Linked DNA regions of Diceros bicornis minor. The protein of the gene in region 2 interacts with the protein of the main gene of each other region in a pairwise test. Links are inferred from orthologs where the notes say so. Each region holds a gene or a part of one and is shown on either strand. Other genes may lie near its edges. The genes, in order: NATD1, NIF3L1 and CDKN2C.

Region 1 (3,744 bases), on a different chromosome or scaffold from region 2:
GAGACCACTTCACGCCCATCAGAACAGCAAAAATGAACAAGACTGAGAGACCGACATCACCGAACTTGCCACTCAACGGGGTCGGCCACAGTGCTGAGTGTAAAACGGGACAACCACTCTGGAAGAAGACCTGGCAACATCTCATAAAACTCAAGGTACAGCTACTGAGACCCCACAATCCACTCCTGGGCCGCCCAAGAGGGGTCTATGCTACAGACCCCAACAGAGTGCTCCAGATGGTCCACGGCAGGCAAACCCAGACACAGCCCAAAGGCCCATCCACAGGTGGTAGATACATCGACCCTGGTGTAAGCACACGACAAGACTATTCAGTGATGACAAAGAAGCAACGACACGGATGAATCTCACAGGTGAAGTGTTGACCAGAAGAAACGGCACACTAAAGTACATACTATACGATTCTGTTTACACGGAGTTCTAGAAAAAGCGAGTTAGGCAATGATGCTAGAAGTCCAGGAGAGTGGTTACCTCCAGGGGTGGGGCACTGCCTGGAAGAGGCTGAGGGAAGCACACATGTCCCCTATCTTGATTTGGGTGATCCTCACACGGCAGTGAATGTTGAGCTTACACCTTCATTAACAAACCAGGGAAAAGTAAGCTACAGTCATGTGATTCCATGGGGGTGGGGGTGCTGGTCAAGTCTCCTTTCAGAAAACAGGTTTGGGCTCCCGAAAGCCCTGTGTGTCCTCAAGCAAGTCCCTGGCCCTCTTGGGACTTGATTTCCCCATCTGTGGAGTGGATCCAGGGATCTGCAAGGCCTCTTCCTGCACTTCGGCCTCTTTTGGAAGTGGTGGCATTCACCCCCAACCCAGACGGCTCCTCGGGGACCCCCTCCTCAGCAGCCTCAGCTGCGCACGGTGGGATCCGCAGCCCCATCCTCCCAGGGCCCCACCGTGTGTGCCCTCACGAACATCTCTGCCTGCCCGGGGCCTTTCTTTCCTCATCCGTAAAGCAGAGTTGGGCATGCCTGTTTCTCGGGCTGGTGAGGAGAATCTTCGCTGAGCGCAGGGGGGCCTCCATGAGCCCCTCCTGTGGCTCTCCAGGGCTTTGCCGTGCAGAGGCCATACACACAGCAAGCGCTCAATCAATGGTGGCCGCGAAGGGATGATTAGAATTTCACTACAGGTCGTGACATCTTGAGAACGTGTCCGTGTGGGGGCCCCAAAGTCGCCCGTGGGTCAAATGCAAGAGGACGCAGCGGCCCGGGCGCCGGCGCAGGGAGTGTTCTGTTCGGAGCCGCGAGGCGCGGCCCCTTTAAGAGCGGACGGGCTGTCCCCACGGAGGCGCGGCCCCTTTAAGAGCGGACGGGATGTGTCCCCACGGGGCGGCACGTGACCGCACAGCTGGCTTCCGGCCCCGCCTCGTGTTGTCGCCGCCGCCGGGGGTCGGTCCGCGCCGCCGCCCGCGGTCTCGGGCCCCCGCCCGCCCGAGGGGTCGCGATGGCGCAGCCGGGGGGCGCCGGGCCGCCGGAGCAGGGCTGCCCCGTCCGCGTGGAGCACGACCGGCGGCGCCGCCAGTTCTCCGTCCGCCTCAACGGTAACCGCCCGGCCTTTGTCCGCGCCGGGGGCTCGGGCGGGGGCCCGGGAGGCGGCGGCGGGGGGGCGCGCCGGCCCCCGCGCGAGCCCCCGCGCCTGCCCGCCCCGCGTGCCCCCCCGCCGCGGGGTGGACGCGGCGGGGGCTGAGACCCCGGGGGGCGGCCAGCCTGACCCCGCTGCCCTCGCGGCTGCTACCCGGCTGCTCGCCGCCCCTGGGAACCTGGGGTCTCTGCACGGAGGGGCTGGGGGAGACCCCCGGGCAGCCCTGGGGCTGCTGGAGAGAGGGGCTGCCGGTGTGGAGGGACTGGCGTCGCGTCACACCCCGCGGCCGAGGCTGCGGCCAAGTCGTGTCCTCCCCGCGAGCCCCAGCGCCTCCACCCTAGTCTGCGAAGCCCCCCATCCCCGGTGCAGACCGCCTGGCTGCTTGTGCGGGTGCCTGCGGAGATCAGAGTGGAGACTTAGAACAGCGCCCGCCGCGCTTGTCAGCGCAGATAAACATGCACTGGTCGTTATTTTCGAAACCAGCAAGCCAAGTCAAGACGTTTCCTGTAAAGGAAGGTTCTGCCGCCTACTAGCCCATGCCTCCTCACCCTAAGAGGTCTGGGGCATAGAAAACAGAGTTATACAATGGAGGCCCGTGAATTCCCCGTATCCCACACCTTCTGCATTAATGACTTTCTTCTCACCCATCTGGGCCCCCTGTGGCAGGTCCAGGCGGCAAGAGCCCTCAGAGGCCACTGTGCCCATTTCTGAGAAGGGAAGGCAGGGGCCCAGGAAAAGGAGAGGCTTGCTGAGGCCAGGCAGTGAGCCGGGGCAGAGCTGGGGTAGGGGCCGGCGGCTCTGACTCCTGGATCTGGGCTCCTGGGACCTGCACTTGGACACAAGCAGGAGGGCTGGGGCCCAGGGCAAGGACATTTCTCAGAGCCCTGTCTGCGCTGTGCTGGGCATTGGGCTGGGCCTCAGCACGTCCCTATTACAACATCCTTGTGGTGTGGGCATCAGCCCCCCACGTGACAAGTGAGTAAACTGAGGCTTGCACCACAGGGAAGAAGTGATTTGCCGTATCATGAAGTGCCAGAGCTAGAACTCAAGCAAGTCCTTCTGCCACCATGGTGTGGGCCGTGGCCCAGCTGGCCGTGACACTAAGGGCGCTGGCCACTCTTGTGGGGAGGGGCCTCGTGGATTTTCAAATCCTCTCTTCTCAGGTTCCAAAGAGGCTCTGGTTCCCATGGGGGTTCAGGAGGCCCTATACACTCACCGAGACAGAAGAAAAAGGGAATGTTTGGAGTTTTCTTGCTTTCTCTTCCAAATGGCTAGAGCCAAAGGACACCCCTCTAGAATTGACTGTGGTCGGGGCTAGACGTGCCAGCCATATTCCTAAACTTGTCCCCTTCCAGAACCTACTGCCCAGATGGCTAACTAGAAAGTGGACCGGGGATCCCCAGCCAAGCCCAGGGAGCAGCGCGAGGCCACCAGCTCCTCCCCAGCCGGCAAGGCAGGGACTGTGTGGCCTAGGCTGGGCCCAGTCCGAGTGTGTATGTTGCGGGGCAGGAGAGGGCCCGTCTGTGTCTGGGCCCCACTCTGCCTCAGCTGGGGAGGGGAACAGCCTGTGAGAGTGTCTCCTGAACTGCAGGGTTAGCCCTGGGGGCCGGCTCATGGTGTCCACTGAGAAATGAACACTGAGGCAGAGGGGAGAAGTGGCCCTAGGGCTCCTGGTGCAGACGTGTGCCCGGCCCTCCCATGGCAGAGCGAGGCTGGTGAGCGCCCGGTAGCAGTGAGGGGAGGCGTCGGAGCAGCTGCATTCACTGAGTCCCTGTCGTGTCCCAGGCAGGCACCCTGCACAGAGAGGCACTTACTGTATCCTCATGGTGTTGCCGGGGGGAAGGGAACTGCCCCTCCAGTGTTACAGATGGGGAGACTGAGGCACGGAGATGTGACTGACACACGCAGGGCCCCGCGCCTCGCAGGCGGGAGAGCTGGGATTCACTCCACAGTCCTTGCCGAGCACCCGCTGTGTGCCAAGCATTGTTCTCGGTGCTGGGGACTCATGGGATGACAGTCTGGAGGGGCGGTGACAATGAATAGAGTGTAAAGGGTCCTAGGAGACAAGGGCCTGGCAAGAAATAGAGCAGGGCAGGCGGAGAGCATGTCGGGAAAGGGCTGCTGTTGAGAGTCAGGTGTCCAGGAG
Region 2 (3,744 bases):
ATAAAAAATTTAAAAGTAATTTTGCTTATTTCTGTTTTGCTTAGAATCATTTTACACTGTATGCTTCTACAGCTTATCATTTTTCCATCTTGCCATTGAAATTTCCATGCAGTTTTATTTCCCTTGGCTGACCTTCTAAAAATTACTTATACTGAAAGACATTCATAAGAATTCCATAAAACTGGGCCGGCCCAGTGGCTTAGTGGTTGGGTGCGCGTGCTCTGCTGCTGGCGGCCCGGGGTGGGATCCCGGGTGCGCACCGATGCACCGCTTCTCCGGCCATGCTGAGGCCGCGTCCCATATGCAGCAACTAGACGGATGTGCCGCTATGACATACAACTATCTACTGGGGCTTTGGGGAGAAAAAAATAAATAAAAAATCTTTAAAAAAAAAAAAAAAGAATTCCATAAAACTTACCATTTTTCTTCTTGATGGTTTCAGGAAGCACTGTTATGTAATTTTTCAGTCTTATCGAGAGAAGTTCGAAAATGAGTCTCTATTCCCAAAAGAAAAAAAATTAAGTTCACCTTCTCTGAACTCACACATGCTCATCTTGACTGCATATTTAAAAGAAAAAGTCTTGAGAGCACCCCCCAAGTAATAAAAATACGGCTATGCAAGTGATGAGGAGCTCCTACCAGACTCAAGCCCCTCAATCGCCTACTTCTGCTCACTCTCCTTCAGGATCCTCCTGCAATCCCCGACAAGCCAGGGACATCCCCGCCCTGGGGTCTGCGCGCTGGGCGTCCCCGCCGCCCGGAACGCTGCCGCTCGAACACCTCTACGGCTGCCTTCCTCACCGCCAAGCCTGCCCAAGAGTCAGGTCTCCCTGGCCCGACAACTCGATTCAAAACTGCCTCCACCCTAGTTCCTGCCCTGTGTCCTTTTCCCACAGCACTTACACTAATACAACACACGCTCGATTAAGTCTGTCCTTTCAACAACGCCTCCCCGCCCAGAATGCTCACTCAAGCAGCCCAAGAACTCACACACACAGCGCTCAGCACGGGTCTGAATAAGCGAATGAAAGAATGAGCGACGTTACCGCGTACTTACTTAACCACTTCGGTTAGCACAGTTGTTAAAAACTTAAAACGACGCCCGCACGGGTCTGTAGACTCGAAATTAGTTTCTTCGGGTCACCGGAAGTCGAGTACGGGACCCACTAGAGAGAACGCCGCTCACCTGCTCGCCTCCTTCTCCCTCCCCGCTCCTCCTTATCTCAAAACAAAAGGACTAGACCTAGAGAGACAATGTCATTTATCCGCACCTGGAACACTTTCGACAGTGAAAGGGAACTCTTCTAATAATTACATGAGGACAAGAACCGTAACCTGGAACTATTCTGGGCAACCTTCAGAAGCGTCGTGGGCTCAGACGTAAAACGGGAAGAGCACTTCCGGCCGCTTGTCCCTCAGTTTATTCCCACACGCCAGGAGGTTCCGCGCGGGACCGGACGTGACGCACGAGAAGCGCGCCCGGGGCCGGTGAGTCGGGTGATCTTGGTTCCCGCGTGGGTGTCCGAGGCCGTCGAGGCCGGCGCGATTCATGCGGGCTGTGGCTGTCAGAGAGGTGCTGCAGCGGAGACGGGGGCGGAAAACTGGCTCCCCGCGCGGGAGCGCAGGGCACCTGTGGGGCAGCGGCCCTGCCTCGGGCTTACCTGTGCCACCGGGGCTCTTCGTTGTCCTGGAAGAGGCCTGAAGGGGGACTGAAATGAGGTAGATGAGGGGAGAGGGTGCAGTTTGCAGGCTGTAAAAGGGGCCCCACTAATGTTACTTAACGTTAACAGTCAGTGCTGGCTCTAGGCCAGGCATTGTTTCCGGCTGCCCGGATACTCTCGCGACAGCGCCGTGGGCTGGGTACTCTCCATCCTTCAGCGGCGGAAACCGCCGAGGTTAAGTGATGAGTTGCGCAGCTGTGGCCTTGGGAGGCAGTCTGGTTTTGGAGTCGGTGCTCTTACCCACCATGCTATGCCGCCTCCCGTTGTTGTTAATTGTGGCTTCAAGCTGCGCCGCGTCCCAGTTTCCTAATCTGTGAAGTGGTGCGTGTTCTCTTCTTGCTAGGGGCTCTTTCGGGTAGGACAGTAGATAACTCAGATTCTCTAGTGGGCGTGGCGGCCCACTAGAGCCTCACTTTGGCGCTTGCCATATTTAGAAGAGTCTGGAGAGTGGAGTAGTGTCAGGACGGGGAATCTGGAGAGTGGAAGTGGTATAAGGACCATTAGAAGACCTCTCAAGACCCCAGGCTCGAGTGGGTTTGGAGGCTCCACGTCACAAATCATATATTGAATAAGTACATCTCGTATTAACTATTTTGGCTGTAGAACTGTTGGAAAAAATTTGCTTTTGAAATCATTGGGCTATGAGTATTTCATTAAATTTACAATTGGCTGTGCTGTCTTGCTAATTATTGTGCATACTGTGAAATGCTTTTCTTCAAAAACAGAAATCTTCATGGATACTAAATGGGAGAGTGGTGTTGACAGTGCTGTCTTTTGGATTGGATGTAGATGTCTGAAAGGCTTGCAGACCATGTGGGCAAAGTGCCCTACACCGCTGCCTCTCCCACCTCTTGAGCCTGGCCTTCCTGTAACGGTTGGTTCCGGGGCAGCAGCCTTGCTGCCCATTGGTGACATGACCCACCTATGCATCCCGTGACTCTGGCTGCTGATAAAGCACTTAACTTTTGAAAAATATTTTATTGTTTTTTTGGTAAAACATTTTTTAATGGCAATATATACCACCCTAACTCCAAATTCTGCTGAGGTGGGGGAGGGGGAGTGTCAGTCTGTTTAGCAAGCGTTTAGTGCTGGCCTGTGTTGCTGACACTGAGATGTATAAAAGCTAGTTCCTGTTCTCTGGTAGCTTTAGCAGACTGGGGGAGACAGAGGAGCAGAAATATAACATTCTGAGAATACCAGGGCAGAGGGCAGTGAGGTGGGGAGCCACTGAAAAGGAAGGTTTGTCAAGAAAAGCTTTATTTAGGAAGTTGAGGGGGACTTGGAAAGAAGGGTAGTATTTAAAGAAATGGAGAAGAGAGGAGGGTAGTTGAAGCAAGGGTGGGGCTGGGGAGGAGGGAATGAACACTTGTGTGTTATGTACCAGGTTTGTGCTAGGTGACTTACACATATTAATCCATTTGCTCCGCTGATGGCCTGTGAGGTTATGGTGTCTCCCTTTTGTAGATGAGAAAACAAGCTCAGAGAGATTAAATGACTTAGCTAAGATTCCACCTGCTAGTAAGTGGCAGAGCCAGTATTTGAACCCATGTATGTGTGACTACAGCGCTTTTGCCTGTATGCTTTGCTGCCTCAAAGGTCCGGGCCTAAGGTGTACAGGTGTACCACTGTCTGTGTTTTGACTCCAGATACTCAGCTTTACCTGATTCCTGTATGTTGTCATCTTGTGTACGCCTGGTCCCCACGGCAGTTCGGCTGGTCGGTTCCCTGGTCTGCAGTTCTTCCCGTTCCTTCATGGATTTGAAGGCTCTCCTTTCCTCCTTGAATGACTTTGCATCCCTATCATTTGCTGAGAGTTGGGACAATGTTGGATTACTGGTGGAACCAAGCCCACCACACACTGTAAACACACTCCTCCTGACCAATGACTTGACCGAGGAAGTGATGGAGGAGGCGCTGCAGAAGAAGGCAGATCTCATTCTCTCTTACCACCCACCTATCTTCAGACCCCTGAAGCGCGTGACCTGGAAAACCTGGAAGGAGCGCCTGGTGATCCGGGCTCTGG
Region 3 (3,744 bases), on a different chromosome or scaffold from region 2:
TTCACAGTTTGGAGTCTCTGGAACATTAAGGCTTCAGAGTTCGTCATGATTTCTTACGTAAATCATCTCTCTAGTTTTCGTAAAAATCGGTCTATAAAAGACTTCTGCTTTTTCTGAGCACCATTCTTGCTCAGTCCGGGTCTCGCCCTCCAGCCCCACGGCCACCTCTGCCCACCGCGGCCCTGGACGTTGATCTGGCAGGTGCGAGGCCGAGGCCCGGGGCTGAGAGAAGGAGGCCGAGCGTACACAGCGCGCGCCCCACAGGAGGCGGCAGCAGCGTAGGCCTGGCCGCCCGAACTTGGAGAGCCTAGCGGGGGAGCGCGGAGGCGGGCCGGCCTGCCCCGCCAGCGCCGGGGGAAGATCGCTTTGCGCCAGCTCGCTCTCCGCCTTCAAGCAGCCAGCGCCGCCGAGCCTCTAAGGCCCTGCGGTTCTCCGCAGCCGTCTTAATTAACAAGTCTCTTCCCCTCACCCCCGCCCCCGCCGGGCCCGGGGCAGCCCGGGGTTTCGCGTCGCAGATTCCATCCCGCCCGCCAGCCCGAGGAGGCCAAACCCGGCTCTGCGGGGCCGAACGCCGCCCCAGCTGGGGCCTGGCCGCGGGGCTGGCGGGTGGGAACCGGCGCAAGAGACGCGAGGAGGGAGGCAGGGAGCGGGGAGGCGGGAGAAAGGGTGCGGGGCGGGGGGCGGGGCGCGCGAGGCGGCGAGCGAGAGCGCCACCAGGGCGGAGGGCGGGGCGTGGGCGGCGCCCGGCCTTCCCGCTCCCGCGGCGCTGCAACTCCGCCGAGCCTCCTTAAAACTCTGCCGTTAAAATGGGGGCGGGTTTTTCAACTCAAAAAGCGCTCAATTTTTTTCTTTTCAAAAAAAGCTGATGAGGTCGGAAAAAAGGGAGAAGAAACCGGCACCGTCTCTGCAGCGGCAACAGAAGCAGCAATTGTTTGAGCGTAAAAAGAAGCAAGGGAGGGAGGGAAGGAAAAGAGCAGAAAGGGGGACGACGCGCAAGTGTCTGTAGGGTTGAAGGGAGCAGGGACCGGCGATTTGGGGGGACCGGCTACAAAAGAAACTGTCACTGGGAGCGCTGCGGCTCGGGAGGAAGCAGTGCTGCCCCGCTCGGCTCCAGGGCACAGCTGGCTGGCGGCCGCTGCCCTGTCGGCGGCGTAGGCTGGGGGCACAGGCCAGGGGACCGCGAGAGGTTGGCGAAGTGGCACCGGGCGCCGAAGCCCCTGGGCTCTCTGCGAGAGGGCAGCGGGACTGGCTGCGCCCTGGGATTGTGGCGACTCCCCATACTGAGAGGTTGGCCTGCGCTTCCCAGGACCCTCCCGATCTCCGGAGGCCCTCAGAAAACCGGGAAAGGAAGGAAAAGACAGCGGCGGCAGCTCAATGAGCGTCTACAGTAGGAAGTCTGAACTGGCTCGGTCGTAGGCGGGAAGTTACCGGTGGGCTGCCCTGTGCAGCCGCGATGCTGCCGCGCGCTGCCGCAGCAGCCCGGGCCCCGTAGACGCTTCCCGCATCGCTCTCCCCTTCCTCACGCTGCTGGGAGTCCCGGGACCCGGTGGGGCCGGCATGACCGGCTTGCCGGGGGCCCGCCGCGCGCCCGGCTGTCTCCGGAGACGCGCGCCGAGCCTGGCTCCCACGGCCTCCGAGGCTCGGCGGGGCTGCGGCAGCGCGGCGGGCGGGCTCCGGAGCCTTCCCGCGCGGCGTTAGCCCTCGGCTCGGCCCGGACGCGAATAAAGCCTCCTCCGGAGAAGCCGAGGCCACTGAGGAGTCGTTACAACCTGTAACTTGAGGGCCACGGAACTGCTACTCTCGTTTGCCTTTGGCGATCGTCTTTAACCCTCCGAAGCACGTCAGCATCCAGCCTTTGCGGCGCTCTCCCTGCAGCGGAGGACTCAGGACTACCCCTTCGGCGAGACGGATGGACACCGAGCCCCTCCGAGGACCTGCCCCTGCAGTTCTGGCTGTCGCGGCTCAAGTCACCACCGTGAACAAGGGTGGGTTAATACCTTTTCTTCCCCCCAACTGTCTTTTCTTCCGCGGTATTTTATGCCGTGATCTAGTCCCTTAAGTCTCCGCGCACATTCCTCACAGAGGTCTGTAGCGTAGGTACGTGACAGCTCTGCCTACATTTTACCCAGAGTAATTTACCAGGAATATATGTGTGTCTGTGTGTCTCTCTGTTGAATCACCAGAATTCTTCATAGGGGTTAAGCTAAAAAGCGAGGAGCGGAGCCCCTCTCCAATGGCTCAGTTTTGCTGAATAATCACGTGTGAATCGAGGGGCGGGCTTTTGGCAGGCAGATCTTACTAGTATTTACTACCAAGCTCTACTCCAGATTAACCATCCCAGTCGTTCTGTCAGTCTCCGATGCCATCATGCAGCCTGGTTAGGAGCAAAGGAAAGGGGAAAAAGAAAAACAACTAATTCATCTTTTCCCGATCGTCAGGACCCTAAAGAATGGCCGAGCCTTGGGGGAACGAGTTGGCGTCCGCAGCTGCCAGGGGGGACCTAGAGCAACTTACTAGTTTGTTGCAAAATAATGTAAACGTCAATGCACAAAATGGATTTGGAAGGACTGCGCTGCAGGTTGGTATCCAGCGAGGTGGGGAAAACAGGTCAACAATGTTGCCTACGTGACCCGGGTTTCTAGAATAACAGCTTTTAAGCTTTCAAGGGTACAAAATTTCACTGTTTTTAAATCTAGTTGGTTGCCATATTTTATATCTTTAAGTGGGTCCAACTCCCTAAAATGACGTACTTTGAACAAACTCGTCAAATCCAGTAACATCCTCGATATCAAGTGGGTTCCAGGTTTGGTCTTAATTTTTGGAATGTTTTTGTGACGGTGGGGATGTTCAAGTAGTCGTAGTAGAGCCGAGTTTTTTGGGTTTTTTTTTTTTTAGACAGCTCTGTAAACACATTATTATGATTATTATTTGAAGTAAATACACTGCTATTAGTGGTTTCCGTACTTTGCTCCAATAATTGACTTTAACGTTAATTTTCTTGACTACTGGCGAGGGTGTTTTTCCTTCAAATGCTTCAAGTTTTGACAAACGACCTTTCCTCGTTTGGAATGGGTGGCCTGGGCACGGGGACAGGATGTACATTTCACAGTTAATGTAATACCATCCACCCATTCAGGATTGAGGAGGAATAAAAAGTTGAATTTTCTAATCGGAGCTCAGCTTGTAGTGTTTTTGTCTCTGCGGTCATGCCGTGGTATGTTCTAATTTTCAGTAATTAGATTTACAAGAAACAAATGAAACATGTCCAGCTGCCAAGTATTATACCTGATAATATTTTTTCCTCCTCTGAATGCTATGATGTAACTTAGTTGAAAGGCATAGAAACAGAAAAATGGCAAAGTAGTCTCAAATAGTTGCTTTATCAGAGTTCTGATGATATTCTTATGAGCTATTCTTATTCGGAAATGCAACACTTGAAACTGTTTTTGAAAATCCATTGGGGAAAGGGTTTTTAGAGTGCTTTGTTTTAGTTACAAGAATTAGAAATTTAAGTGTCAGAAGATATACTATTAACAGATGAAGTCTATACAGTCTGTACATTTTAAAATCAGAATACACCAACCTTGCAAAAGCTTCAGTATTAAGGGAGCTTATGCATAGATACTAAATTATTTATCTTGTTATTTCAGGTAGATTAAGTGGGGAAAGGAATTTTTTTCTTTTTCGACCTGGTGGTTTACCGGTGATGATAGCAATGCCACCAATTAAATATATTGAAAATTT

What was found.
Region 1: the proteins of NIF3L1 (region 2) and NATD1 interact in binary tests that used the Homo sapiens proteins (3 or more experiments, as listed by UniProt). The two-hybrid records come from large-scale screens. The link is inferred for Diceros bicornis minor from reciprocal best matches to the Homo sapiens genes NIF3L1 and NATD1.
Region 3: the proteins of NIF3L1 (region 2) and CDKN2C interact in binary tests that used the Homo sapiens proteins (3 or more experiments, as listed by UniProt). The two-hybrid records come from large-scale screens. The link is inferred for Diceros bicornis minor from reciprocal best matches to the Homo sapiens genes NIF3L1 and CDKN2C.

Annotation. Positions count from the first base shown.
Region 1 is NC_080757.1:232,334-236,077, forward strand, and holds the start of NATD1 (protein NATD1), read left to right. Parts: upstream 1-1,422; 5' UTR 1,423-1,460; coding exon 1,461-1,557; intron 1,558-3,744.
Region 2 is NC_080749.1:78,812,559-78,816,302, forward strand, and holds the start of NIF3L1 (NIF3-like protein 1), read left to right. Parts: upstream 1-1,493; 5' UTR 1,494-1,714; coding exon 1,715-1,719; intron 1,720-3,367; coding exon 3,368-3,744. Other genes in the region: PPIL3 (peptidyl-prolyl cis-trans isomerase-like 3), read right to left, coding at 419-421. UniProt on the Homo sapiens protein: May function as a transcriptional corepressor through its interaction with COPS2, negatively regulating the expression of genes involved in neuronal differentiation.
Region 3 is NC_080752.1:13,411,498-13,415,241, forward strand, and holds the start of CDKN2C (cyclin-dependent kinase 4 inhibitor C), read left to right. Parts: upstream 1-766; 5' UTR 767-1,985; intron 1,986-2,438; 5' UTR 2,439-2,449; coding exon 2,450-2,578; intron 2,579-3,744. UniProt on the Homo sapiens protein: Interacts strongly with CDK6, weakly with CDK4. Inhibits cell growth and proliferation with a correlated dependence on endogenous retinoblastoma protein RB.